Canis lupus familiaris: one gene and its partner. The protein of the gene in region 2 purifies or fractionates together with the protein of the main gene of each other region. This does not show direct contact. Links are inferred from orthologs where the notes say so. Each region holds a gene or a part of one and is shown on either strand. Other genes may lie near its edges.

Region 1 (14,557 bases), on a different chromosome or scaffold from region 2:
ACCTGCCTTCAGCCCAAGGCATGATCCTGGAGACCCGGGATCGAGTCTCACATCAGGCTCCCTGCATGGAGCCTGCTCCTCCCTCTGCCTGTTTCTCTGCCTCTCTCTCTCTGCCTCTCATGAATAAATAAATAAAATCTTAAAAAAATAAAATAAAACAAAATAAAATAAAAAGACCAATGTCCAGGCTCTGCCGTCAGAATTTCTTGTTTGATTAGACCAGGGTCAGGACAGGGCTCTTTTAAAAAAGTTTCTCTGGTGGCTCTAATATGCATCCAGGGCTGGGAAACTGGTGGTCTCATACTCCAGAGACCACTACCACAAGATCTTTTACTCTCTTCACTTAAAGCAGCATTGTTTTGTTAGTACCATGGGTATTAAAGATGCTTTTTTTTTTTTCATTCTAGAAATGAATGAATTGTATTCAAAATAGGTGGGTGAGCTGTACAGGTACTGACCCCTCCCCCCAGCCCAAGAGAGGTCCGTGCACCTGGTAAACCTAGCGCCCATTGCAGGAAGACATGGGCCTCGTAAGCTTATCAGGCACAGGATCTGGCCAGAAATTTAGCTCCATCCTGTGCCTGGGATATTATAGGATTGGTCCTGAGCAACTCTTTCACACCTTTTGCCTGTCTAGAAGGCCTAAAGGATGGGGATCTGGGCCTTGATAAAGACTTCAGGGAAGCTTAATGTCTGTTCTGGTTACCTATAAATATTTGCTTTGCTGAGTTGGTCTGAGACTTGTTTTAATCATCAGAGGAGCCAGGGAGCATTTCTCTTGCCAAGCCTTATCTAGAAATCCCAGAATTTAAATTGTAATTTACCATCTGGTAGGGAGATGTTGGGGCAGGAACATTACTCTTTCCTTCTTTTAACTTAATCTAAATCTTAGCTGCACTTTAGAAACACCTGAGGATTTAAAATAAATCCTGAAGCCCAGACTACCCCCCAGTGCTGGTCATCCAGAGTGCCTGGAAGCGGAGCCCAGGTATTCCTCGTTCAGAAATTCTTCAGGTGTGAATCCAAGTTGAGTAACACTGTGTCAGAGGCTACTAATATCTGCCCCCAAATAATCTAATACTTTGAACAAATAAACCGGGTTCAATTTATTTAACTCAGTAAGTTGAACTTCACCTTCTGTCACCATTGCATCTAGATGTGGCTTCCAGCAAAGCAACTGGCTCGACACCCAGGTTTACCAGGCAGCTGTGTATCCTCTTCACCACTGGCATCTCTACTTTGAGTTATAAACACTCCTTAGAAGATGTATTGGTTATCTACTGCTGTGTAACCAATTACTCCGCAACCTAAAAGAATAAACATTTATTATCTCAGTTTGTGTGGTCCAGGAATCTGGGAACGACTTGTCTGGGTCGTTCTGGTTCAGGGTTTCCAATGAGGTTGCATTCAACTCGTAGTCTGATGGCTAGACTAGTGCTGGAAGCTCTGCTCCAAACTCACTCAGGCGGCTGTGGACAGGAGGCCTCAGTTTCTCACTGGTTGTTGGCTAGCCAGAGGCCTCAATTTCTTGCCACACAAATGTAAGTCTCAACATAAGGCTGGTACCTGGCTTCCAAGAGAGAACATAGAAGACGCTGCATTGTCTTTGTGACCTAATCTCTGAGTCACACACCATCACTTCCCTTCAATTTTATTTGTTAAAAGCCAGTGACTAAGTCTAACCCATACTCAAGGGAATGGAAACTAGATTCTACTTATTAAAGGGATGGCTGTTAAAGATTTTGTGGAAAAACCTTAAAACCACCACAGGAGGTAATTGGCCAGGGCTAAGGGAATGTAAAGATGTTCAAGTTGCCTTTATGGGGAAAAAAAAAAAGTCTAATTCCACCAGGATGCATAAACTTAACAGGAATCAGAACCCCTACAGAACCTGAAAAAGCATTTGGAGTGCAGATCACAAATCGGATTATCATTAATGTATTAATGGGCAGTTTTGGTAATTGCTTCCCATTTTTTAAGTCTTAAAAGGAGAAAGAACACACAGACCAAAAGAAGTCATCTCATCTTGCTCAAACCCATGTTTTCCAATGGATCAGTTCTTTAAAAGGCATGTACCTTATACAGAATTCCGTGTATGTGTTAACAGACAAACAGAAATGACATTTAATTTCAAGCTCCATTAGTAACATATAGGGAATGGTAAGAACAAGGTCGGCCAAGATGGTGAAGGACAAAAGTATTTCATTTCCAATTACTTAAAATAGTGTACAAATGCAGCAGCTGAGATAATGTTGAGTGCTTGCCAACTTAAAATAGAAGGGATTATAGGAAAGAAACAGAAGGGCTTGTGATATCTGAAGATCTCAAAATGCTCTATTTTCTATTGAAATAATCATTTTTGCAGCAAGCATTCAGATCATATATAACAGGTGTCTACAACCTGCAGGCCAAATCTAGCATGCTTTCTGTTTATGGAAAATTTTAGTGGAATACAGCCATACCAATTCCTTTATGCATTGTCTTTGGCTATCTTTACAGTACAGTGGCAGGGGCTCTATGCTCCACAAGGACTAAAAGATTCACTATCTGGCCCTTTAGAGAAAAAGTTTGCCAATCTTTGGTGTAGACTAAAGAAGGAGGATATATGAGTATTCTTGACTTCATTAAAATAATCCCAAAGCTTTCAACACAGATTCTCTGGGCCTTAAAGACAGATCCAAGCAAAAACAAGAAGATCAAGGGATTGGCAAAAAAACATGTCATTATTTATTAAAACTTGCTACCTTTAGGGCAATATGATGAAAAGTTAATGCCAAGTATTTCCTCTCATCCTAATCTTGTTCTTCTCTGTATCTATCTATCTATCTATCTATCTATCTATCTATCTATCTATCATCTATCTATCATCATCATCTATCATCTATCTTCTATCTATATAATGTACATCTGGAGTTTCCAGAAGTCATACTTCTTGTGACATGGAGAATATCCAGTTACAGCAGGAAGAAATGAAACTAATACAGAATACTATTTTAAAAAAGCATATATATATATATATGTGTGTGTGTGTGTGTGTGTGTATACATATATGTGTGTATATATATACATATATGTGTGTATATATACATATATATATATATATATATATATATATATATATGAAGTAATCAGTGTTCTTTAGGTTGTATGTGTTTGAAAAGAACCTCCAATTTGCCTAAGGGAATAAAGACGGAGGGAAATCAAAAGAAGTCAGAACCTGGGAATCTGAATACCATCCTCTTGATCATTCTGTCTCTCACCCTTTCCCACTTTCCTTCTTCCTCCCTTATATCCCAAGCCCCTCATTCTGTATTAGCTTCATTTCTTCCTGCTGCAACTGGGTGTTCCCCCTGTCATGAGGAGTATGACTCCTGGAAGCTCCAGATGTACGTTTCCTGCCATCATCAGAGCAGCCAGAGAGCATTTCTTTTATCAAGCCTCATAGAAATCCCAGATGGAGCACAACGATTGGTTTGGGGACCAAGTCTGTGGTTATAGGATTAGGCCTTTCTTCAAATGAAGAGCAGAAGGGGAATGGTATGCAGATGAAAGGCCAATCAGTGGATGAAACATGGCCTACTCCACCATAAAAACTGGCCCTCCCACAGCAGTCAGTCACAAGACCCAGGGACATTCTAAGAGAATATTTCATCTATTCCTTGGCTTGAGGGCGGTCGGGGGGGGGGGGGGCTCTTGTAAGTCTTAATTGATTAATGGATTCTAATTTGAAAACCTCTCTAGATTTCATAACTCCACCAATGTGTTTCTCAAGAAATTCTTTATTCTTCATGCTACAGTTGATGCTTCTAAGAAGAGAGACATACAATGTTACATCTTCTTTTGACCATATACCTTTCTCTGGTCAAATAATTCCAATTTCTTGGTTCCTCTTTAAGAGCCTATGGCTGAGGTTTTGCTCCTTTATCAAATTTTTGACTCCCACTAGATTTGTTTTTGCAGAATTTAAAGCACACCTTCTTAATATATGAAACTCAGAACGTGACACTGGATAGTGATCCATTCAACCCTGGCTTCATTTGGAATTAACATTGGAATCAGATTCTCTTGGGAAGGAACCCTAGCTCTGCCATTTATTCGTTGTATGATCTTGAAATACTTGATATTCTTAGATGAGAACTCTAAAATATTCATCTCATAAATATTTATTGAAGGTATCAGTATTTGGGTTGCAACAGTAAGTGAGAAAGTCTCCATCCTAACAGAACATATGTCAAGAGGACTATAGGTAAATTTATAGGCTGTTTTTATATACTGTGGTGAGTACTGCAATATGAAATATAGGATGTTCTAGAAGGACATAGAAAGGGTATGCAACCTAGACTGGGGTAGGGGTTGAGTGGGAGGTATACCCTTCCCAAAGGAAATGGTATCTAAGGGGAGACCTAACTCAATGAGTTAGGCAAAGAAGAGAGAGAAAAAGGATTAAACAGTCTTTCTGCAGAGAGTACATAGTACATTTACCATGATACAGGAAAGCATGATTTAAAGGAACTGAATATTAAGTATTAGTCAGGAATATTCAGATGGCAAGTGACAAATCCATTTCCAACTAGCTCAAATGAAAAAGTAGGATTTGCTTATTTATCAACCCATGGGTAGACTCGGCTGGCATCAAGGATGGTTAAGATATAAGGACCAAAAAAATGCCACAGGTCTTACCTCTGCCGGTGATTTTTGCTTGTCTTTGCGGGTTAAGTTTGTTCTCTACTTCTGTAGATTATTTTCTCCACACGACTGAGAACATGGACACCAGCTATCCTGCATTAACAAGCTTTGGCATTAGTTAAGGTGGCTTACAAGACATTAAGAGAGGAATGTATTTCACAAAGACGAGCCAGACTTATTATAATTCAGTATTAGAATGAAAATAACAAGGTTGAAGAGCTAAGATGGGGCCAGATCATGATTATGTAAGTTATATTTAAGAGTTCGTAATTTTTCTTATGTGGAATAGCAACTTATTAAATAACTTTATAATGGGGGAGTGTTAATGTTATCTTTAGAAAAATCACACTGGCACAGATTTTAGGGATTGGTGGGAAAGAGCAAATGAGAGAGGTTAAGGGACTGTTGTAATAGTCCAAGTAAAAAAAGGTAACAACAGCCAGAACCAGGATAGTAAAGATGGAAAAAAAAAAAAAAGGGTCAAATTTAAAGAAATCTTGGTAGCATCAGTAGGGAGTGAAGACAGAATCGAGGACAAGCTTTGTGTCTGTTTTGGGAAACTTAGTGAACTGAGATGCTGAACCTAGAAGTAGGTTTTAGGCAGGGAAAAAAGACAAATTCAGCTTTAAAAATTATAAATCTGAAGTGGAACAGGTCTTCAAAAGCCGGACTAAAGAAATGGATCAGGAAACATGGGTCTTAGACATGGATGGGGAGAGGGTTGTAGAGGAAAGACCTCCAGGACAAAAGCTGAAGGACACTAATATTTAAGGGCAGATAGAAGCAGAAAATCCTGGGGGGGGGGGGGGGGGGGGGAGGGGGCGGGGAAGAAAAGCTTGAGAAAAAGTAGCCAGGATGGTAAGCAGAAAACTAGGAAGAGACAGTCCAATAGAAGACAGAAGAGAATTCAAGAATATAAATTGACCTATTTTTTGGTTAACGGCTGTGCAACATGCCATAGCGTGGATGCACCACAGTGTAGGAATAAAAACAAAACAAAGAACTCAAGGCAGCTAAGCAATGTCAAATGCTCCAGGAGGGCAAAATTCTTCAGCTGTAAGATGGGGGATTCCATCAACCTTAAAGGATCGCCATAGGTATACAGTGGATCCTGTTTGCACAGTTTGCACACCTCCTGCATCATGAAGGCATTTGATGTCAATAATTTTCCTTTATGAAGTGAGTTGCTGTGAATTACCCGTGGCTCAGAAGATACTCTTACTCCAGGATCTTTTAAAATCACTCTTAGAAATATCTTGTCATTACATTGTACTAACATAGCTTTTTTGTGTTCTATTGTACTCATCCCTAATAAATGTGACCTTTCCTCCCCCTTCTGATTATGTCACTGGGACCAAATCCTTTGATTTATCAGCTGCACCAAAAGTCACAGATTAATTGGCAAGATAAATACAAGTGACATTTTGTTTCTGCTCATCTCATTAATGTAGCTCAACTTTGATTAGTTTTCTTCCAAACACTAGCTAGAATGGGACTATAACTTGGTGTCATACAGAGTACAATGGCTCGTGATGGTTGCTTTCCAAGGGAGGATTTAATAGTTTTTTTGTTTTGTGTGTGCTCACATGATAGTCTCTTACATTTTTGTACCTGGTTATCATTTCTTCCCCAAGAACTAGCACAAATAACAATTCTTAGCTCTTTCTTTAGGAAAAGGGGGAAAATAAAGTACCACTCCAATTAAAGAGAGAAGGAAAGTAGGAAAAGGTTGGGGAGGGCATTTTATAATTCATTCATATAGGCTGGTGCCTCCTAAAATGTTTCTCCTTATGAAAAACAACTGAAGAATAAGATCAGAAATAAGAAATCAAGGACTTTAAAAGATTTACCACTTGCTTTTTATAGCTTTATTGATGATTACCAAGTTTCAAGGTGGTTCAAATAATTAAATACTGCAACTGGGACATTAAAAATACAAACTAATTTACCAAAATAATTGTATTCTGAATATTATGTACAATATTATACATTTTACATTACATAAAGGGTTTTTATACATAAAGGTAAAATTTGATTCATGATTATTGAAAATCCAAAATACATTTGAACAAAACATTCCTATGCATACATACACAATCACTCCACCGGGATAATCAAAACCATACATGAGTGTGGTTATTAAAAACTAACATTACATTCATACAATGGTAGAAATTAAATTTGTCTTTACTAATTTGAGTGTATTACTATAAAAACCACACACATATGAATTATATAACCTAATTCTAGATATTTAAAAATCTTTATGTAAAAAGACAAATATGTCTTGATCTCAAAAGAAATTTTTTATTTTATTTTTTTTTTTAATTTTAGGGGACTTTTGTAGTCATTAAAATGCCATCCATGGGCATCACACAGGCCCGGGTCCCTGAAAATAGAAAAATCATGAGGGTCTATCATATATATCATCATGGGTACTTCATTGTATAGTTTTCAAAAAATAATCCTATTCAATTGTATCATCTGAAATGCCTTCATATTCATACTTGTCATCAAAGAGATTACATAATGAGGAACAGAGCTGATGGGGAAATACATATATTACTGTAGAGAACTAGATATTGAAACAAGGATATCACTAGATGATTTCAGTAGAACTGAATGGGTGTGCTCCCGAAGACCATACCACCCACACACACACACTAAATTAGTTACTAAACAAGGTGTCAGTCCTTCAAGAAGGTTAATACACTGCTGTGTCCCATCTTGTTTGAATACCGGAATATCAAAGTCCAGAACACTGTGGCGCGAGTTTAGGTACCATCTCCTTTTAAAATCCAATTCCTTTCCAGAACGGCTGTGATTTGAGGTAAAGCCAAACATTTTTCTAACTGATATGAAGAGTCTGAAAAACAACGTCTGTATAATCAAAATGCCCTTCCAGTTGTACGTCAGTCTGCAGTGGATCTTATTCCAGAGACAGAGGGACGAAGATTCCATCAGAACTATACGCAAGAACCTCAGAAAGGCAGCAGTTAATAAACTGACCATTCTCCTCAAAGGCTACACAGCGCTTTGCAATATTCCCTATTTGAAATCCTGTATTTTCTTCAAGGCTAACAACCGAACACCTGGAAACTAGAAGATAGAAAAGGAACAAGCTGAAATATACAAAATCGGTGCCCTTTCCAACATCACATGATCTATGAAAATGAGATTCAAAGGCTAAGGTTTGCTTTATTGTTTTTCTTCTCCTTTGTGTTTAGCTTAAATATAAAAGAAGCTCTAAACCTAGGTTATCAAAATATATTCATATAAATGTATGAGCATTTCTAATACAAAAGTTAAAAAAAAGTCTAAATTTTTAATTTTTGTAATTAAATATCCTAGAGTTTCAGTAGGCAGATTTGTTTCTGAGCAGCTTGAAAATAATCCGTTGGCTGAGCACCGTCCGTGAGGTGGGGCACTGCTACATTTCCGCTCTTCGCTGTGATTTCTCTGCAGCCCCAACCCCATCTTCTTCTTCCTCCTCCTCCTCCTCATAGGGTTCCTCTCGGCCTTTGGGGCGGTTGTCATCTCGAACTTCTTGTTCTTCGCCATCGTTGTTTTTTTCATCAGCCTTAAAGATAAAAGGAAAAACAAAGAGATAGGGGATAGAGTGGGTGATATAAATAATTCCTTTTTTTAAAAAAATGTGAAGTTATTCATTTGTAGAGAAAGGAAATGAGTGCAGAAAAATGTTCAGATACGCAGCAGTGCTAGTCTTTCCTAATCCTCATACTGTCACAGTTTTCCTAATTCTAGGTTGGCCTGTTAAACCGCTAGCACGTGAAACGTACCCACTGGTATCTACCCAACTGGCCATACGTATCTCCTACACATGCACAAGCACGCAGTGGACATCTCTGTCCTGTACGTACGTTTTCCTCATTTTCCCCATAGGTCTCTTCAGCATTATGCTCCAATTCCCTTTTTTTCTCTTCAGTCAAATCTTCCTGAGCCTGAAAGAAACCAGAGATACTAGGTGACCCTTTTTATCATTTAATATATTATGATATGAACATATGATAATACGTTCTTATGCAAGAACATATTTTGATTTCTAAAATGTTCGTTAAAAGTAGCAGAAATGAGGAGTCTGGGTGGCTCAGCTGTTTGAGTGTCAGTCTGCCTTCAGCTGAGGTCATTATCCCAGGGTCCCGGGATCCAGCCCCATGTGGGTTCCCTGCTCAGCCAGGAGTCTGCTTCTCCCTCCCTCTGCCCCTCCTTTCCGCTTGTGCATGCACTCTCTTTCTCACTCTCTCAAATAAACAAACAGAATCCTAAAAAAATAAGTAGCAGAAACTAAAAATAAGCTTGAAAAAAAGACAAGTCTTTTTGAATCAGAGACCTGATTTGTCTATTAGCTATGGAGAGATGTGTAATACACCCCCTACAAAAAATCATTGCCACTGATTTAGAGCCTAGGACTTACGTGTCTGAATTTCTCATTTCTTTGAATAAGTGTTAATCCTGCAAGTATAGCACCTGAAGAAATTCAGCTTATAAAATTAAAAACTCCCCTTTTCCAAATGGAGGAACTCTAGAAGTCTCAAGGCTCTGATAGAAGTGAGTTCTAGGAAGGAAAGAACCGTCTCTCTTACACTCAATTGTCTTCCATGCCTAGATGCATACCTGGCACACTGCAGCTGCTTAATAAATATTGATGAATGTATGAGGCAATGAATGCATAAGTGAATGAACACAAAAAACATCTGCTCTGTTAAAGACACAGAAAACAGACACCCTTATTACATGCACATGATGTAGTAAAAAAAAAAAAAAAAAGGTGTACATCTAATCCTATAATTAAGAATATAAAGTTCTCTGGCTAACATATCTAGAACCCAGAACACAAGCATTTCAATTTCTTCTTGAAATAGTTACTAAACTGCCCCAAATCCCTACATCTCTTCATTGTTCTAAGTAGTTTTCTACTTAAGTAGAAATAGTTCTTTTAAAAAATATTTTATTTATTTATTCATGACAGAGAGAGAGAGAGGCAGAGACACAGGCAGAGGGAGAAGCAGGTTCCATGCAGGGAGCCCAACGTGGGACTCGATCCCAGGTCTCCAGGATCATGCCCTGGGCTGAAGAGTGCCCTAAACCACTGAGCCACCCGGGCTGCCCAAGTAGAAGTAGTTTTAAGTAGTTTTCCTTTATGTGTGCTATTACTGTTTTAAGTAGTTTTAAGTGCACTATTTCTATTTTAGCCATTACTATTATGTATCTGTCATGGGTCCCAACTATTTTTTTCAAAACACAGGTCAAAGAAAGCGTCCGAATATTTTTGCAGACTAGTCTCTATTTAATGGTTACATTCCACAAAAATACAAGGTAAAATATTTTCTAGCTTAACCATTCTGAAAACCATATGTATGCCAAAAGACTGGAGTCACTTGAATTTCAAAAAATTGCTGCCCATCCATTAAGCGTCATGTGGAGTCCTGGGACTACAAGAAAATCTAACCTGTCCTACGACAGGGGTGTAAGAGTAGGTCTTCCTGAACAACACAGAGAATTACCAAATTTGGTTGGTGGGGGAGGAGTGTTAAAAATCCCAGAAATGGGCAGGGGAAGGAAAGCACGCAGGTGTTACAATGCAAGAGGAACAAATCAGGGGCTGCCTCAAGGTGTCCAGCCCAGGTGTGACAGGAATGAAGCACAACCCACCGCACAAGCTTTGGCAGGAACCTGGCTTCTTATGAGCTGACAACGATGACCCTTCAAAGACGCCCTAGACAGAGCCCAGCTTTTACGAACTTCTTCTAATCAGCCCAGTGTCGGCCAGACTCACAGCCACTGAACTACAATGGCATCCAATAAATACATTCTGGGGACAGAGGCACAGGGCATTCTTTGTATTTACATGTCCCGGTGGCGGAGCTTAAGAGACAGACAGACCTGGATTAAAACCTTGGCTCCCAAATGCTGGCTGTATAAAAATAAGGTCACTTGTTTCTATTAGGAAAATTTGCAAGCAAGCACAAGCAAGGCAAGTAATTCACTGAACTCCTTACAGCCATCCACAAGGCTCAAAAGTTAGCTCAACGTTGCCACTCCCGCATGACCTATCAATCAGTATTCTTTATGTTTTTGATGACCTATTATTTAAAAATTTGGCATTGCCAAAAAGAGTTATGGGTGCTTAAAAGTGACTGAAATGCTCAAATATATATATATATATATATATTAAGTGACTGCTTGAAAGCCCTGAGTGCTCATTTTCTCCAACTATAATTGGAAATAGCTCAATCTGAACACTCATGGGAGAGCGCGTACAAGGTTATTTGGCTACGTTCAGTGGCACTGGCAGCCTGTGGATGTCTGCCTACAGCATGGACATCTGGACGTCCTGTAATTTCACCCCTACCCACCTCACCATGTCTCTCTAAAAACAAGGTCGTTTTCTTATATAATCGTAATGCCATTGTCACCTGATAAATAATCCCATGGTACCATCTAAAGTCTAGCTCCTACTTAGCATTTTCCTGATTATCTTCAAAATGTCTATTGACAGCTGGTTTAGCCTAATCATTATCCAAACAAAGGCCATGCCTAACATCAGTTCCGCCCTGGCAAGATGCACTCCCTCCCTAGGAGAAAATGCTGATGGAAGGCATTTTTGCCTTAATGCTATTGACTTGTTTTGCTATAGAATGACCCACACTCTGGACTCACCAGCTTCTTTAAAGTTATGACTTAACTCATTCCTCTAGACCTCACATTTCTTACAAAAGGAAGTTAAAGACTTACATGAATTCAATTTGCAAAGCAAGAATTTTTCAAAGGTGATGCTGCAGATTTATTTTTTCATCACACCAAAAGGCACGTAACACTCGTCCCACTTTTCTTGAGACTGAAGTCGGACAGCGCACTCAGAAGGCAACTGCCTCATCCGGATGCTCCATGATAAAATTCCCTGACCTCCATTCACCTAGTGATATCATCCATTGATGACTGGCTCCTAAGTCACTTGTTTTAATTAGGGGTTACAGAAATGGTGACTCTCTAATTTCACCATTCCTTCTGCATTCACTAACTTCTACAAAGAACTTGCCCGTATCCATTACTTAGTTACTGTGCTTGTTATACTAAAGTACAGTAGCCTCTAAAATCAGACGTGGGGGGCGGGGGGGGGGGGCTCCAATCATGGTTCCAACAATAACAAGCTGGTGAGTTCCAAAAACTTAGCCAACCTCTCCGAGGCTCAAATTCCTCATCTGTAAAATAAAAAGGTTTGATAAAACCAGTGATTTTTAAGTTTCTGTCAGGGGGAGGGAGGGCGGGGGGTCATGGGCCCTTTTAAGACTTTGGGAAGAAATGCAAATGTATGTACATAGGCACAAATACACATCATTTTACACAGTAGTTTCAGGAGATTCAGACTCCCCTGAGTCTACCTGTGGCCACCTGTCCGAGGAATGCTTCTCCAAACAGTGTGTTCCTGGAATAATTCCTAGGTTCCTCCACAGGTAAGATCAAAATCTTCAAGGGTAAGGTCTGAGCCAGGAATTTGTGCCTTTCACACACACTCTCCAAGGTGACTCTTAGCCACAGCTAATAGTGAGAGCTACTAGCTTGAGTGACAATGACTAGGGGATTAAGAACATTTCTGGCTAGAGATGAACACCCTTGCATAAATTCCTTCTTTTATTCCCTGGAGATCTATTTATAGAAAATTTGGGTTGTTTACCAGCTGTCAATAGAATCTGAGGTAAGAAGCCCTCTGTAAGTTACTCTTTAGAGAGAACCACAAATAAAGATTTTGTGATTTTCAAATTTATTGATAAATACAAGATATATTCTTCATGTTTGGGACAAAAGTAATGCAAATTCATCTCACAAGGCACTACTGAAAAGGAACAAAATGATACGGCATTTCTAATTTTCAAAGATACTTAGACTTAAAAAGAGAAGCCAAAGGTTACTCCTTTCTAATGGAGACACACCAATTAGGTCTTCCACATTCGACCCTCCTTAGCATCTTGATAAAGCTGATGCAAACATCTTGTCAGAGATTTACATCACTACTCCTCATTACTCATTTTGAATTCACTGAAATCTAGTGTCTGGGGCATTTTAGAAATGGTCCCTATATGATGCAGCAAAGTTTAACTGTCAAAATAAGACAGATCTACTGAGGCCAAAATGGGCTTTGGTGTTACACATCAAAGATGCCATAGGATGAGACACCACGGACCAGAAGGCTGAACTTGAAGCAGTCCAGAATTCTGGGGTCCAAACACGGGGATGGAATGTGACAAAGGAAAGGCCTTCAGCACCAGTGGCTCTCGTGAGGGACACCACTGCTGGCTGAGTCAGGGGTCACGGGTCACGTGTGCGCTGCCTGGCCGGCTCTGTGCCATGGGCACCCACAGGCTCCCAGTCCCACTGAATGTACCAAATAACCTAGTGCGCGCTCTCCCACGAGTGTTCAGATGGACCTATTTCCAATTATATTTGGAGAAAATGAGCACTCAGGGTTTTCAAGTGGTCATGTAGCGTATATATATTTTTGAGCATTTCAATCACTTTTAAGCACCCATAACTCTTTTTGGAAATGCCATAATTTGTCTTGTTTACTCATGAGCAGATAAAAAGTCTAGAAAGTAAGCAACATAGGGATGGGATCCCCACATGAATGTCCCAAACAAGAAGCCACGAACGCTTGTTCATAACCATCATTTTTCTGTCTTAGAAGGGTAATGCTATGGCACCAAGATTAAAAAAAAAAAAAATGTGGGGATAGTGCAAATTTCCAAATGGCACACTCGTCTTGGGTCCTATTCTCTGAGCTCAAGTCACAAGTGTGATGGGCTATACCTCTGAGCAGGGAGGGCCCTGGCAAGACGCACTCCCTCCCTAGGAGCAAATGCTGATGGAAGGCAGGTGACACGGGATGGACGGGAGGGGGACCGTACCTCCCTGTGGTCTGCTGGGGCAGCTAGAAGACTCTGAGGCTCAGTGAAGATAAGGACGCATATGACATGGTGGTGCATGGTCTTCAGAGCATCCCACAAATGTCTCACGTGCATCACTTACAAACAACATGAAATGGGTTTGCACATATTGCCTTCCTCTCTTTCTCATTTTGCTGCAGTCTGGTGAGAACTGCATCTCTATTGTTAGTCCTTAAATGGTATTTGGGAACCACTCTTCTCCCTTTTCCAGGGAAGAACTGGGAATAATGGGAAAAGGTGGGAAGATCCAACAGCTGACCATCTCAGGAACTGCCTGAGGAAGGCAACACAGCCTGTGCAAGGGCCTCTGGGGATGGGGAGGGGAAAGGCAGGCTGAGAGCACCCCTACATGGGAGGGTGCACAAACTTGAGCCTATATAAGAGCAAGAGAGGGTCAGAAAGTGGGGCCGAGACACCAAACAGGAATTCAGAGCAGGGAACCAGAGAAGGAGAAGCAGGATCTGGGGCCCAGTGCAGGGAGAGTAAAGGGCTCTGGTGGGTTCAGCCCACATGAGGGACAAAGAGCAGTGGTCCTCACGTCGACCTGTCACCACTCTCCACCCCTCATGTCTCTTTCTTTTTTCCCCTATCCTTGATCCCTCTCGGATACAGGAGTGCTCTCTTCACCTTAATTGACATCATATGAAGGTAAAAAAGTAACCAGTAAATACTGATTAAAATTTTATGTTTACCCTTCTGCATTTTTAAAAAGAAGCCAAGGTGAACCTCCTCTCTTTTAATCCCTCCCAGATTCCTGGCATCTGACCCAATGAAACAGAATAATATTTGTCCAGACATCCTGTTACAAGAGAAGTCCAGACAAATACCTTTTTCTTGCCAAATGCCTTAATATTCAAGACTGCTAATTTTTCTAACTCTCTCTTGTGACAACATAGCTCAGGCTCTTG
Region 2 (15,942 bases):
GGACACCCAGACCCTGTGCCTCCAGCTCTGCCAGTCTAGGCTGGCTAATCCACCAACTGGGGACTGAGGACTCATTCCTCCACCCTGTCCTCCAAACCCCAACATTTTCCACCCCAGTGACTTTCCCAGGGCATGGGATGAAGCCGTTGCTGTCCATGGGATGGGAGGCCAGGACTGTACACATTGCCCAGGTATTTATATCTGAGCAGGGCCCCAGCATGCTGTCAGGCAAACAATGAATTCAGATTCTACTGAAAAGCTTTTGGGCAAAGCACATCCCCTGGCCCCCAGCCCAGGGCAGGGCAGTGTGGGTGGGGCAGGACAGGGCAGAGACAGGGAGGGAGACCTATTGGACTAGGCCCTGGGACAGGGTGACTAAGAAGTGGGATGAACAGCAGGGAGGATGTGAGAGACAAGCCAGATCCAACCAACCTGGCTGGTCACTCCTGCCCTCCCTACCACCACCACCTCTGGGGCCTGGACTTCATCAGAAGCCAGAAACAAACTTTTCTGCTCACACAGGTTGCCCGCACACATGCTTAATAACTGTTGGCACCTACACAGTGCTCACTATGTGGCAGGCCCTGTTCTAACAACATACTTCCACATATAAAATATATCCTCATGGCAACCCCATGCAGTGTGTTCTATAATGACCCCAATCTCACAGATGAGAACACTAAAGACCCAGAAAGGTCAAGTACTTGCCCAGGTGTTACACAGTTAGTAGTGATAGAGCTGGGATTAGAACCCAGAGCCCAGGCTCTTAATCACACTGTAGGTAAAACACATATTTACACACACGCGCAACCACAAGGGTGCACATGTACACATCTATAAACTATACACACACATTCTGAGCAACGTATCCCTCACCCTCTCAGCTAAGACCTATCTATCCTTGTCATCCACATAGATTTCTGACACCTCCCAGTTGTCACCTCCTTTTTTTTTTGAAGATCAAGTGAGAGTGCACATGCGTGTGACCAGGGGAGGGGAGGGAAGGAACACAGACAGAGGGAGAGAGAGAGACTAAAGCAGGTTCCACACCCAGTGCGGAGACCCATGCAGGGCTCAATCTCACGATCCTGAGATCATAACCTGAGCCGAAATCAAGAATCGGACACTTAATTGATTGAGCCACCCAGCTGCCCCAAGTTGTCACCTCCTTATCCCCAAATGCTCCATGTTCTCCTGTTCTCTCCATTTGACTCCCAACCCTCTGCTGTTCCCCAACAACACCTGTCCCCTTGGTCCCAGCTGTCCCGTCTCCAGATATATCTTCATCCCTAGTTATCTCCCATGCCCAGTTGTCCCCCATCCCCCAGCTGTTACTCTGCCCCCAGCTGTGATCCTGGCCATCAGATATCCCCAACCACACCCCTTCCCAATTTCCCCCATCCCAGCCCTTCCTACACAGCTTCTATACTACAAAACCTCAGGGACCCTTCTGAGTCTCTGTTCTCCACATCCCTTCTGATCCACCACTAGGTCCTGGGATCTGCACCCTGGGAATCTGCCCAAGACTTCATGAGCCTGTTGGCTGTCCACCTCAGGAGTCCTCCCCTGGCCATTCTGAAGGCAATGCCAACCCTGCCCAGAGCAAGCCAAGAGAGTATACTGGCCCCCATCTGTGATAGCCCAGCACCACCCTCCACCCACTCCAAGCCTTCCCTGTGTACCCAGGGGTTCACATCAATGCAAACACTGAGTGGGGACCAGCCATATACAAAGGCCTGGGGACAGGATGACAAGGACCCAGCCTAGCCTTCAGGGGACTTCCAACCAGTAGGCAAAAAAGATGGAAAACAACTCAGCAGGCTATCCCACATGCCTTATGGGAGAAACCTGAAAAAGCCATGCAGGGGGTGGGGAAGTGAGGAGTGTCCCTAGGGGAATAACAGAGCTGGACTCTGAGGCTGGATTAGCAGGCCCCCACAAGGTAAGAAGGGCAGGAGAGGCATTTTCAGTAGAAGGCACAGCATGTGCAAAAGTAGAGGGGTGTGAAAGAGCCTGGGGGGTTCTGGGATCAGCACTGGCCCGGTGATCCCAGATCATAAGGTGACAAGGAGGAATGTGGTCAGGGGAGGAGAGGCACAAACATGAAGCAGTTCCAGAAAGTGGGGTGTGCATCATACAGGGTTTGGGTTTCATTCCTGGGTACTGGAGAGCTTTCAGCTTGGGGCAAGCAAGTGGCAATATCCCATGTCTGCCCAATAGACATCATTCAGGTCACAGGTGCTGGAAGCACTGGGGAGTTGATGGAAGAATGGAGACCAAGGAGGGCTACTGCAAGAGTCCAGGCAAGTAATGATGGGCTGGGAGGAAGGGGACATAGATTCAACAAAACCTTCTTCCATGGCTGCTGAGTGACGACGGTTCAATCAGATCACTTCCACCCCCTGAGGTGTCCAGGCCTCACACCTCTAGGACAGCACTGTCCCTAGGACTTTCTGCCCAGATACAAATGTCCACCACCTGCACCGACCAACACAATAGCCACCAGCAACACGAGATTCTTGAGGATTTGAGGTCTGGCAAGTGTGATGGAGGGGCTGGTTTTAATTTTCATGAATTTTAAGCAATTTAAATTTAATAACCACACATAAGTGGCCACCATGTTGGAAAGTGCAGGTAGGAAACATTTCCAACGTTGTTAGAAGTTCTATCGTAGGAAGTTCTATTGAAAGTCAGCTCTAGACTGACTCAGCATGGAGAAGGAGAACCATCGGGCCCTTCTCCAGAGGCTCCTGGCCTTGGGGTCTAAAGGGAGATTGGGAGACAAACTCCAGGGAAGGGGTGTCAGAAGCCAAGCTGGCAGAGGCCCTGGTACAGAGCAGCACACAGTCATCAGGACACTCCCCACCCAACACATGTACACCCTTTCCTGGAGACAGAAACACCTACCACAGGGCGCCTCCCCCACTCAGACTCACAAACACTCGGATATTCTAACGCATGGGTACCCTGTTGCTGGACACAGATACCCTCACACTCCTATATCCAGACACTTGGGAACCCCACACCCAGACACCCGAGTACTCAGCCCCACATGTGGACACAACACAGAGACACTCTTGTACTTGAACACCCATTAACCTAAGACTGCCAGACACCTGGATACTCCCACCTCCAGATCCAGAGACACTGGGACATCCTTAGATTGGCACACCCTGATCCTCCCACAGCCTGGCACTAGGATGCCCACACCTAGATACTGAGGTACCACCCGCCCAAACAGATCTGCACCCAAACTGCAGAAATTTGACACTTAGGTACCAAGACACCCCAGCAGCAGTCTCCCCAGGATCCAAACAGCTGGTCACCTCCCTATCTCAAACTCAGAACTCAGATCCTACCACACAGGGTAACCAGATGGCTAGACACCCTGACAAGCCACACATATGTCCTGTGCCCCAGGCTACAACTATACGATCACTCACTCACACACACACACACACACACACACACACACCCCTCACCCCATCCTGACTGCCCAGATGCCAGGATCACACCTGCACACATCAGCCAACCTCCCACAACCCCACTTGCAGGGGGCACTACCGGGAGCGGCTCTCCTCCCCTCCCTGGAGCTCACAGTCAGGACACAGGACCCCACCTGCCTTACTCCAGGATCTAGGACAAGAGAACTGAGGCAAGGCCTGCCCTCCCTCCTCCCAGGACGCTCAGCTCAAACTGACGGTTGGGACTCCAAGCCTCCCACCACCTGCCGAGGCCTCCAGCACAAAGGCCGAGCCTGAGGGCAGGACAGGCCCTGCCAGCTGCTGGGGGGGCGGGGCTGGAGGCAGAACTGGAAGCTGGGGGGAGGGGCTGGCAGGCAGGAGTCTGCTCCCTTCCATCTCTGCCAGGGACTCAACCTCCCCAACTCACAGCTCCCAGATGACTCTGTACGTGGCCTTTTCACACACAACACCATCCCTCGGCAGAATTTTCCAGATTCCTGGAGGGAAAACGGATTTCTTTCATCTCTTACTTTCAATGGAGTCAGTGCGCCCCCATCTGGCTTCTCCAGCTCAGAACTTGACCCACTGGACCGCATTCATTCCTTCTTGCCACATTTATTCAGCAACCAGGATTGGGCCAGGATTTCTACCTGACACTAAGCAATCAGAGGTGAACTAAATACCCAGTCTCTGTCCTCACAGAGCTCATGATCTGGAAGGGAGAAAGGACCAATAAACCGTAATTACACTAATTACAATGCTATGAAAAAATTCAATCAACCCCCACTCTCCCTTCCTGAGCTAGAACAGGGAGTAACCAAAGAAGGCTTCAGGGAGGAGGTGATGCCTAGCTGAGACCTGAAGGAAGAACAAGAAGAGTTCACGAGGAGAAGAGGTGGAATTAGAGAGTTCTGGGGAGAAAGCACAGTGTGGAGGACAGAAGGGGGTTGTGGGAGGAAGGGGGCACAAGGCACCCCTAGCAACTCTAACTAGCCCAGCCCTGCACGAAAAGGCCACCCCACAAGTCCAGCTTAGCTTAGATGACAGCATGGAAGGATGGCAGCATGCCTCAAGCAAGCAGGTGCCTGCCCTGAATTCTCTCTGACACTTGAGCTGGGCAGGGGGCTGCCAAGGAACTCAGCACCCCCACCCGGGTGGAGTCAGGACATCCTGTGGAGTCTCCTCCCCCCAGCCTCAGGGAGAAGGGCCAGCTGCTCAGACAAGCCTTTATTGCCCAACCTGAAACCACTGGGCAGCCTCTCCCTCATTCCTGTTGTCCACAACCCCAGCAAGCAAGCAAAAGGACAAAATGAGCTAGAACACAGAGGAATAAATTATTGCCAGATTTGCATGACTGTGAGACAGCACACACCCACCCTTGGTGGGCCAGGGGACTCCACGCATTCAGGGAGCCAGGCTGATTTCCCCCAGGTTTGGGGCAAGGATACATCGTATCCCTTCTACAAAGCATTTATTTATGAATGAAGCCCTAAAGGTAATAGCTACAAGCGTCCCAGGAACTTTAGGAGTGAAGTGACTTGCCCAAGGTCACAAGGACAGCAAGTGGCAGGGGTAGAATTTGAACCCAGGTCCCCCTGGCTTCAAATCACAGCTTCTGGGGCTCTGCAACAGTCCTCAAAACCATCTTTTGTTCCCTGGCACTCACAGAGCCTTGCTCTACAATCCACCAAGTACGATGCCCCATTATTTTAATGCCCATAAGGCATAGGAGGAAACCAAGACCCCCAAAATGGAAGTAACTTGCCCAAGATCTCACTTCCATCCCAAATCTCAGTTCTTGACAGTCCCCCCAGCCCGGAGGGGGTGAGGCACAGGAGGGTTCTCGCAATCGAGCCGCGGTGGGAGGAGGGGAGGCACATAGCGAACCCCTCCCTCCGGTTTGATCTCGGGGTGGGGGGAGGGGACAAAGCTGCTGGAGGAGGGCTTGGAGGGCTTGGGGGGCGGATAGGAAGCCGGGCCCCAGCTCCCAGCTCCCAGCCACCCGCAGGAGCGGCTGCAGGAGCTAGAGGAGCGAGGCCTGGGAGGCCCGGGAGGCCCGAGGGGGCGGCGGGGCAGCGAGCTCCAGTCGGGGAGGCCGGGAGGAGTCCCTCCGGGCCCAGGTGGCCCGGCACGTGCCTTGGCTCCGATCTCTGCGTGGGGCGTCTCCCCGTTACTCGGCGCCCCTGGGTACCGGGCTCCAGCCACCCAAACGGGGGGGGGGGGGGGTGGGTTGAGAGGACGAGGCCGCGGGAGGACGACGGGCCGCCCCTGCCCGGGGCACGGGTGGGGCGCAAGTCGGCCGCCGCAGGGGCCCGGGCTGGGATCTCAGGCCGCAGGGAAGGGTGCGGGGCGGGGAGGGGAGGCCGACACACGCGCACGGCCGACGCACGGACACACAGACACGAGCCCCGCACCGGCACCGAGACACACGCTCGCACACGTACACGCGCGCCGCGGTCCCGGCAAAGTTGCGGAGTCCACGGAGGGAGTGTCCCGGGAGACCCCGCGCCCGCCGCGCCGCCCGCCCGCCCCGGGAGGGGGCGCCGTCCCGCCGCCGAGGCCCCGGCCCGCCCGCCCCGCGCCCCCGGCCCCCCCGCGCCCCCGGCCCCTCCCCCGCCGGCCAGCCCCGCAGGGGCGCCCTCCCCCCCGCCGCCCCCGCCGCCCCCGGGCCTCCCGGGCCTCCCCGGCCTCCCCGGCCTCCCCGGCCTCCCCGGCCTCCCGGGCGCCGCCTCGGAGCAGCGGGCCGCCAGCGCCGCGCAGAACTTGCGAAACAACAAACAGCCCGACAGGCCGGAGTCGGCGGCCGCGGGGCCCCTTCCTCCCCCGCGAGCTCAGGCCCGGCCCGACCCAGGAGCCGAGGGGGCGCCGCCGCGGCAACTTGGTCCGGGCCCGCGCGCCACCCGCGCGCACACACACACGCGCACACACGCAGCCTGACACCGCCCCCTCGGGCGGCCCCGGGCCCCGGGCACACTCGGCCACCGCCCAGGCGCGCACCACACTCGCACATTCCTGGACACGCAGCCGGCACGCAGCGACACACTCGCACGCTCACATCCGCTCCTACACGCGCATTCCCGGCACACTTGGCATTCCCCCGGACCCACGCGACCCCCCGGCGGCGCACACCAGCAGCCCCAGACACTCCCACACGTACACATCGCGCACACGGCGCACGGACACACGCGTTCCGGACCCGTTCCCACGCCTTCGCACACGTACACGGACCGCACGAGCACACACACCACACGCGCGTCCCCCGATGCACACGCGGACGGAATCCACGGAGCACTCCCGGTCACACGCAGCACACCAACCCACAGCACCCGCGCGGACACAACAGGCAGCACTCCCTGCCCGCGGCGTACGAAACGCAAACAAATGCAACACATTCGCATACACAACTCCGGCCACACAACCAAACTCAGATGCACACACACCACCTACTTGGCCGCACAAACACTACACACTGGCAGGCGCACGAGACGGCGCACACCCAGCGCCTCGATGCACACAACATGCCCCCAACACGCTCGCGGACGCACAACGCACACGGCACCTTTTGGTGCACACATAACTCACGGACTCACAACGCTCGCATACACACAACGCCGGGAGAACCCGATCGCGCATCCAGCACTCAGGCACACGCAGGGAGCCGAACGCCCGGTCTCCTAACACTTACACTTTCTTGAGAGCTACGCCACGGGCCCCGGGGGCTCCGCGGGGCAAGCTCGGTCGGACCGACGCGCGCTTACCTGCCGGAGTCTCGGTCTCGGGCGCGCAGAGCTGGAAGGTGAGCGCCAGGACCAGAGCCTGGGCGCGGGCCATAGCGCGCCGCCGCCTGCCCCGGGGCCCGGCGCAAGGGGTGCCGCCGCCAGAGCCCGAGCCCAGCCCAGCCCGAGGCGAGCCAGAGCCGGAGCGAAGCGGCGCGGCGCGGAGCGGGACTGGCGCCGAGTCCAGAGCGGGAGCCCAAGCAAGCGGGGCGCTGACGTCAGGCCCCGCCGCGGGTTCCGCGGTCTCGCGGCGCCCCCTGCCGGCAGCCTCGCGCTCTGCAGCCGGTCCGGTCTCGGGCTGCCCCGGCGCGCCCCTCCCCCACGCCCGCCCCCCCCCGCCCCCCCCCCAAGGGGTCCCGGGCCAGGTCTCTTCATCACCCAGCACCGACATTCTCAAGCCAGCACGCTCGCTGCCCACGCTTAGCTCTGCAACAGCGCTCTTGGAACAGAGACCCAAAGACACCCTGCTTCTGTCCCCTTTGATGCTTGAATGCCCTCCTACCTAGGCCCCTCCAAATGCACATACCTTCAAGGACAGAGTGCTCATCGCCTACCAAAACCAGATAGTTGGGTCTTCCGAAACGCTGGCTTTTAAAGTTGTTCATAATATTCCCTTATTATCCTCTTAATATCCACGGGATCTGTAGTGATGTCCCCTCTTTCATTTCTGCTATTGGTAACTCATGTGCTCTCACTTTTTCTCAGCCTGAGGAGAGGCTTGTTGATTTGTTGATCTTTTCAAAGAATCAGCTTTTGGTGGAGTTGATTTTTCTCTTATGACTTCCTGTTTCCGATTCCACTGATTTCTGCTCTAGTTTTTTCTTTCTTCTGCTTCCTTTGGATTTAATTTGCTCTCCTTTTTCTAGTTTCCAAAGCGGGAGCTTAGCTGATTGATTTTAGATCTTTCTTCCTTTCTAACATATGCATTTGATGCTATATATTTCCCTCTAAGCACTGCTTTTGCTGCATCCCATACATTTTTTCAAGTTGTGTTTTCATTTTCATGGAGTTTAAAATGTTTTTTTAGGGATACCTGAGTGGCTTAGCGGTTGAGCAGCTGCCTTCAGCTCAGGGCATGATCCCAGAGTCCTGGGATCAAGTCCTGCATTGGGCTCCTTACATGGAGCCTACTTCTCCCTCTGCCTAGATCTCTATCTCTGTGTCTCTCAAAGATAAATAAAAATCCTTTAAAAAAATAAATAATTTTTTTTATTTCTCAACACTTCTTCTTTGATCTATGTGTTATTTTCTAAGACTTTATTTGTTTAGAGAGAGAGAGTGAGAGCTCTAGTGCTTGCTTGGGTGCACTTGCAGGGGGAGGGGCAAGGGGAGAGGCAGAGGGAGAAGAAGGGAGAGAATCCCAAGCAGACTCTGCACTGAAGACAGAATCTGATGAGAACTGGATCTCACAACCCTGAAATCATGACCTGAGCCAAAACCAAGAGTCAGACACTCAACCAACTGAGTTACCCAGGTGCCCCCAATTCATGTTTTATTTAATCTCCAAGTCATTTGATGTTTTCCAGCTATCTTTCTGTTTTGATTTCTAGTTTAATTCCACTGTGGTCTGAGGGCCAACATTGTAGGTGTTCTAGTCTTTTAAAGTTAAGATGTGTTTTATGGCCCAGAATATGGTCTATCTTGGTGAATATCCCCCATGAGCTTCAGAGGAATGTATATTCTGCTGTTGTTGGATGGGCATAGTCTGTGGATGTCTATGATCTATGGTGTTGTTGAGCGTAACCATGTCCCTACTGATTTTCTGCCTGCTGATTCTGTCCATTTCTGATAGAAAAGTGTTGAAATCTCTAACTGTAATAGTGAATTCATCTATTTCTTCTTACAGTGTGGGTTTTTAGAAAATTATTCTTTTTCATGCCATGAAGTCTGCCTCCATCACTAATTCTCCTCAGTCCTAGTCTACATCTGGCTACACAGATTAAGTATATTTGGGCCTCTACCCAGTACAGGCCCTCATACAATATCAAACTTGTTGTCCATCACTATGTCCAGACACCTTCTATGTGCTTTACCCACATGGACTCATTTAATCCTCACCACTATGATTTATTATTCTCATTTCACAGTTGAGGGTGTTGAGGTACAGAGAGGTGACTTTTCCAAGGTTGTGCATTAGTATGTAGTGACACTGAGATTTGAATCAAGGCCATCTGGCTTAACCTGAATGGAGGTTGAGATCTGCTTCCCATCTGGAACAAATTAACAAATCCCAGCTAGTGAGTCATTTATTCAACAATTCCTATAAGCCAAGGTGGAAAAATAAAACAGAAATTCCTACCCTCATGGAGCCTACATTCCAGTGAGAAAACAAGAACAATAAACAGCCAAACAAGTAAATTCTCTGATATGTGAGATAGTGATAAACCACTGCTTCTGGTATATGGGAAATATTCCAGAGAAATGAAGGGAGAAATGAAGGGAGGCTGGGGGAGGGGAGCGGGGGCAGATTATTGCAGTTTTAAACAAAGCACCTACCGTATGACATATTCTTTTTTTTTTCTCACCCACTCAGAACATGAGCTCCCTAAGGGCAAGGATTTTGTCTTGTATCCCAAAACGTCATGTCCAACATGTAGTTGAAACTCAAAAAACACTGAGTGTACAAATGAATGAATACAGGCAGACATGGGCTTTGCCCTCACAAAACTTACACTCAGGGAAAAGACCAATAGCAAACATGCAAAATATGTCGTTATAATCTGTGATATGTACTCTAAAGAAAATGGAAGGAATGTCCTGATAAATAATTAGAGGTGATCCTACTTGAGTTAAGAGGATTCAAAGGGGGTTCCCAGAAGAAGTGATATGGTAAACATGTGAGCCAGGACCTGAGGCGAGAGAAGGAGCCAGCAAATCAGTGGGGAGGGACACTGTGGCCAGAAGGGACAGCCCATGCAAAAGCAGGAGCTGGTGCATTTGAGGAAGAGCCAGGCTAGGGTTGCTGGAATAGAATGGGGAAGAAAGGGGAACCAGATGTAACTAGAGAGGCCAGCAGGATCTGCAGGTCATGCAAGACACTATGGAGCTTTGGATTAAACACTAGGAGAGGTAAGAGGCTATTGGAGCATTAAACAGAAGAGTAAAAAGTCCTGATCTTTCACTTTTTTTTTTAAGTCTTCAGATGAACCAAGTGGGGAACAGACTATGGAAACAGAGGGACCCATGGGCAGGTGGATCTAACTAGCGGTAGTGACACAGGACAGAACCTAGGAGTTCAAGATCTATCTAGGCCTTCCTGTGTACTGCCTCCACTGCAGGCTGGCTCCTCACTGAGGGTGGCACAAGTGAGGTCAGCCTGGGCCTAGAGGAGGGAGGGCTGAAGGCTTCTGAGCTCCTGCTTCTCTCTCTTGTGAGCCCAGATGAGCAACAGGCTGAGCTAGGGAAGGGGTCGAGGGAGACAGGCAAGGAAGGACCAGAGGCAGAGAATCAGAGAATCAGACAGAGAGAGAATCACAGGGAGAAAGTCAGAAGCAAGAAAAAGGTGATGGGGAAGAAACAGATGCTGGAGAAGGAAGAGACAGGAAGGACTCACCAGAACAAAAAAAGATTTTTTTTCTCAAGAAGAGAAATCCAGTGACAAGAAGAAACAGCCAAGAATGATGCTGTTTGCAGGGGATTCCTGTGAGAGCTTCTTGACAGGAGTTTACTATTGATGCCTTTTTTTTTTTTTTTTTTTTTTTTGTATGTGGACACTGAGGCTCAGAAAGGATGAGGCACCTTGTCCACTTACAGAATAGTGGATGGTGGGCCCAGGATTCAAACTTAGACCTGATGGATTCCACATCTCCTCTCACTCTTTATATAGAAGACTGCAGGGCAGAGACTGTCAGGGAGAGAGAAGGAGAACACAAGCAACAGGTGAACAGATGAACAAAGAATGTTCTGCTTCACTTGAAAAAGGATAACAGACTTCTAGAATCTTTGAGTGGCCTGGAGTGACCTGCCCAAATCTAGGGGAAAAGGAGACAGCACCGCAGATAGGGCCAGGCCATGAGGAAATTCAATTACTTTCAACTCATGGAATATTTATGACGCCTACCCTGGACCAGGCCCCATATTGGGTACTGGTGTCATGGAGATGCACCAAACACGACCCACTCTTGCCCAGAGGGGGGAGTGGACACGTAAATAAATAAGGGACTGTGCCCTAAAGGCCATAACACCAGTTCAGAGAAAACACAAAGGCAGAAAAGGTTGACTCTACCTAGCAAGTTGGAAAACAACATCAAAGAAATGATATCTGAGCCTGGAGTTTCCCAGGTAGGCAAGGCAGGAAGAGCATTTCAGGCTGAAGCAGCAACCCAAATAAAGGCATGAGACATGGAATTGCTAGGAAAGGTGGGTATCAGGTGCTGTTGGATCATGGGCTATGCGCAGGTCTTATAGCAGGAGATAAAAACAGTGTGTGACTCGGAAGGTAGAGGGTATTGGATACAAGGCCATGAAAACGAGACTTGAACCCCTCAATCAGTAGTTCTCCAGCAAAAGTCCTGGGGAAACCAGGTGCTCCTCAAGCTAAGCTGAGGGGTTCAGCCACTAAATTAAAACTATAGCCATCTCTTTCTAACTTGCAAGAAGGTACTTAACTACTGAATAGAATCTTCTTTTTTGAAGGTGCTTTTCCTCCGTCACTTTTCTGAAGACTTTAGCACATGTCAGTTGTACAAGAGAATGGTATAGCGTAGAATTGCGGTTTCATTTTGTTTTGTTTTGTTTTGTTTTCTTACAGTTTTAAATCTAACATGTCAGTAGTTCATGGTGTCCTACCAAGAACTGTGGCTTCTGGGTCTAAGTACTGGGGAGTCACAGAAGAACTTTAAGCAAGGAAAACACAAAATTGGATCTTTCTGTTTAAAAAAAAATCATTCTGGAGGTGGCTGGCTGGCTTAGTACGTAGAGTATGTGACTCTTGAGCTCAAGTTTATAAGTTCCAGCCCCACATTGAGTATAGAGATTACTTAAAAATATTTTTTAAAAAATCATTCTGGAAGCCTGGGAAAGGAAAAAAGAAGGAAAGTAGGGGGAGAGGATTTCAGTTAGGAAGAAGGCTCCTGACATAGTTCAAATAAAAATTGGTGTCCTGGACTGAAAAGTGGGGGCTACTGGGATGAATGAGGTGGTGACTAAGTCCAGCCTCCAGGAGGAAGACCTGCTGGATGATTCTCCAGGCTTTCCAGCAAGGCTGTCCAGGGAATTCAGAGGATCCAATTTGGTACAGAAGATAATGTCAACAGTTCAGTGTCACCTAGAGAATCTTCAACAGATCTGTGTGTGTGTCACAGTGAAAACAGAAGGTAAGCAAAACTAGGCATTGTGGGTATGTGCGTGCGCACGCGCGTGCGTGCATGGTCAGGCACATGCACACTCACATACAAGTGTAACACCAAGTCTTTCCTCCAACATGGGACATCTACTTTCTCTATTAATAAAAACAGGTACAAACATTTTTTGAGCACATAGTATGAGCCAGACCCTAAAACACTGAGTGCTTTATATATGTTATTTCCCATCTAATCTTCACAATAACTTAATAACATTTATCAAATGCTTTCATGTGCCAAGAATTGTGCTAAATGCTTCCAGTGAATAATAGCTCACTTGATCTTCACAACAGCCTTGAAACAAATACTACTATTTCCTTCATTTTAAGGATAGGGAAATGGAGACACAGAGAGGCCAAGTGACTTGTCCAAAATCCAATAGCTGGAAAATGGCAGAGCCAAGACTCAAAGACAGTTTTGCCAGAATCCAACAACCGGCAGCTTTCGGGAGAGCACTTTGCTTTCTTCTCTTCCTCAGAGAAAAGGCTTGGAGCTGGCAAGTTTTGGGTCAATAAAATCTAGAGAAAGGAACTCTTCCTTATCCTTCAGAGCCCTGGATCAGTGTTTGCCTAAGCCTGTTTCCTGGGCCACCTGCATCAGAATGTTCTTGAAAGCTTGTAGGAATTGTAGATTCCAGGACCTGTCGCCAAAATTCTAATTCAGTAGGCTCGAGATGTGGCCTCAGGCGATTTTTATGCACACTGAAGATTTTGAGTAGGACAGGCTCCAACAGCACTTCCTGCAAGAGCCCCATCTCCACCCTGGGCTCCTTCCAGAGCACCTTTCTCCTGCAGACCCATGGGGAAATAGCCTGGGAGCTTCAGGCACTAGCCCAAGGTGGCCAAACTAGAAAGCTTTAGGACGAGGAGATGAACCTAAATCTTCTAGCTCCGAGCCTGAGTACTCTCATCTCCACACCAAGTTACACGGACGCTATTCATTGGTAAAGGAGGTGAACTTTGCCTCCCTGTGCTGTTCCAGGGCAGCAGGGATTCAGCGAGGTGATGCCCTAAAAGGTCTGGCACAGGTGAGCGCTGGGAGGGAAGGGTAAATGACTTCCCGCAAATCGAACACCGAATCGCAGCCTGCAGACACAGCGCTGGGCCGCTCTCAGACGCTCCTATCTGGGAGAACAACTTTGACCGGCGCCGAGGCTCCGCAACTCCCTCGGGTACCTCCACCTTCGACCTCGCGCCCCTGCACCCCCGCGCGGCCTCCGCAGGCGCCACAGCGCGGGCCACCGAGGAAGAGGGCGACCTTTTAAAAGGAGCGAGGGGCGTGGTCACGAGACGGGGCGGGGCGGGGCGGGAGGCGGGGCGCAGGCGCAGGCGCGCGCGGGCGCAGGCGGATGACGTCAGCGCGTTGTCGGGCTCCGAGATTCTGCCGGAAGCATGTGGGGCCGCGGCGCGCTGTTGGGGACGCGAACCCCGTCCCTCGCTTGGGGCCGCGGCTGGTCTGCCGCCGCTCCCTGCTCCGCACCTGCCGAGTCCTCCCGGGTCCGGGCGCTGATCTATGGGCACCATGGGGACCCAGCCAAGGTCGTCGAGTAAGAGGCGGCGCCTAAACGGGGCCAGGGGTTGCTGGAGGGGGTTAGGACGCGCTGTGGAGAAGGGGGGACTGACGAAGGAGGGACCGGGGCGGGGGGGGGGGGGAACGAAGAAGGCGGAGAGTAACGGGACCCCGACGGAAGCCCCCGGCGCGTTGGGAAGCTCGGAAAGTCGGTGCTTCCAGGTAGTTGAAGGCCGGAGAGGCACAGTCGTGACGGTAATAGTGTAGCTAACTTTTTTTTTTTTTTTTGAGGTACAATTGACATACGATATTATATTCGATTTAGGTGTACCGCATGATGACTCGATATGTGTAAATATTGCAGAATGGTTGCCACAGTAAGTCCAGTTAATTCTCTGTCAGCATACATGATTTTCTTTTTTTTTTTTTTTTCTTTCCCTGAGGAGAAGAACTTTCAAGGTCTGCTCGCTTAGCATCTCTCAGACATGCAGTGTAGTATTACGAACTGTAATTACCAAGCCGTAGGTAAGGTCCCCATGACTTGCTGATTTTGTGACAGGAAGTTTGTACCTTTTGCCTCCCTTCACCCATTTGGCCCTATGCAACACACACACACCCCAGTCTGTTTGTTCTCTGTATCTGAGATTGGTTTTTATTTGTTTTTTTTTTTTTTCTTAAAGCATTTGTTTATATATTTTTAAAAATTTACTCGTGAGAGACAGAGACAAAGGCAGAGGAGAGAAGCAGGTGCCCTACAGGGAGCCGGATGCGGGACGCGATCCCGGAACTCCGGGATCACGCCCTGAGCGGAACGAAGCTGCTCAACCACTGAGACACCCGGGTGCCCCGGTTTTTGTTTATTTAGAATACACTTGGCAGTGCGATCATTCAGTATTGGTCTTTCTCTGACTTATTTAATGTAGCAGAATGCCTTCAGCGTCCATCCATGTTGTCTCTAGTGGCAAGATTTCATTCTTTTGTATGACTGAATAATATTCCATTATTTTATATATCTAATATGTAACATTATGATGTACATTATTTCACTACTTTATATATATGCCTCCCATTTACATGTGTAAACCACATTTATTTTATCCATTTATCCCTCAATGACTTTGACTGACCGGGTGTTATGTGTCAGGCACACAATGGGTGTGTCCAAATGGATCCTCTCAATTAATCCTCACGTTTAGGGTAGGTACTTGATTTAACCCCATTTTGTCAGTGACAGAGCTGAGTTGTAAGAGAGGTAAAAATCACTTGCCCAAGGTCGCACAGCCAGTAAGTGGCAGAGTCAACATTTAAACCTAGGTCTTACTGATTTGCCTGAGTTCCTAGGCTCTATTTTGTGTTTGTGTGTGTGTGTGTGTGTGTGTGTGTGTGTGAGAGGGAGAGAGAGAGAGAGAGAGACTATATTCTGAATGCTTTTATGTCCATTTGAATGGACTTCCCAGAAAGTAGGTGGGAGATCATTGTTTTCAGTTTGCAGGAGACAAGAAGGGACTTGTCCAAAGTGATAGAGCTAATAAAGATCAGGACAGGGACAGGGACCCATAGCTTCTAATCCTATCTCATATGACTTTCTCTCTATCACACTGTATATGTGCATTTAGCCAGTTAATAAAAGCTCCTGTTTGGGAGCTTTACAGACCTTAAGATCAAATACGGACTCCACCCAGTAGTAGCTGTTTGATCTTACACAAGTTATTCAGCCTCTCTGAGCCCTCATTACTTTTACGATTATGTTCTCCTAAAATTCTGTTAGATCTTAACCCATGATTTTTGCATGTGGCTGATAAAAACAGTATGTGAATTGTCAACCATTATAAATCTGCTCATAAATGACTG

The links.
Region 1: the proteins of PTPRU (region 2) and GOLIM4 purify together in Homo sapiens (affinity purification with mass spectrometry; 3 studies listed by BioGRID and IntAct, counting the BioPlex papers as one, with this or other methods). This does not show direct contact. The link is inferred for Canis lupus familiaris from reciprocal best matches to the Homo sapiens genes PTPRU and GOLIM4.

Annotation. Positions count from the first base shown.
Region 1 is NC_049255.1:33,049,733-33,064,289, forward strand, and holds the end of GOLIM4 (Golgi integral membrane protein 4), read right to left. Parts: intron 8,649-14,557; coding exon 8,568-8,648; intron 8,267-8,567; coding exon 8,117-8,266; 3' UTR 6,523-8,116; downstream 1-6,522. UniProt on the Homo sapiens protein: Plays a role in endosome to Golgi protein trafficking; mediates protein transport along the late endosome-bypass pathway from the early endosome to the Golgi.
Region 2 is NC_049223.1:70,750,344-70,766,285, forward strand, and holds the start of PTPRU (receptor-type tyrosine-protein phosphatase U), read right to left. Parts: upstream 7,379-15,942; 5' UTR 7,296-7,378; coding exon 7,223-7,295; intron 4,580-7,222; exon of another isoform or gene 3,995-4,579; intron 1-3,994. Other genes in the region: MECR (enoyl-[acyl-carrier-protein] reductase, mitochondrial), read left to right, coding at 13,974-14,128.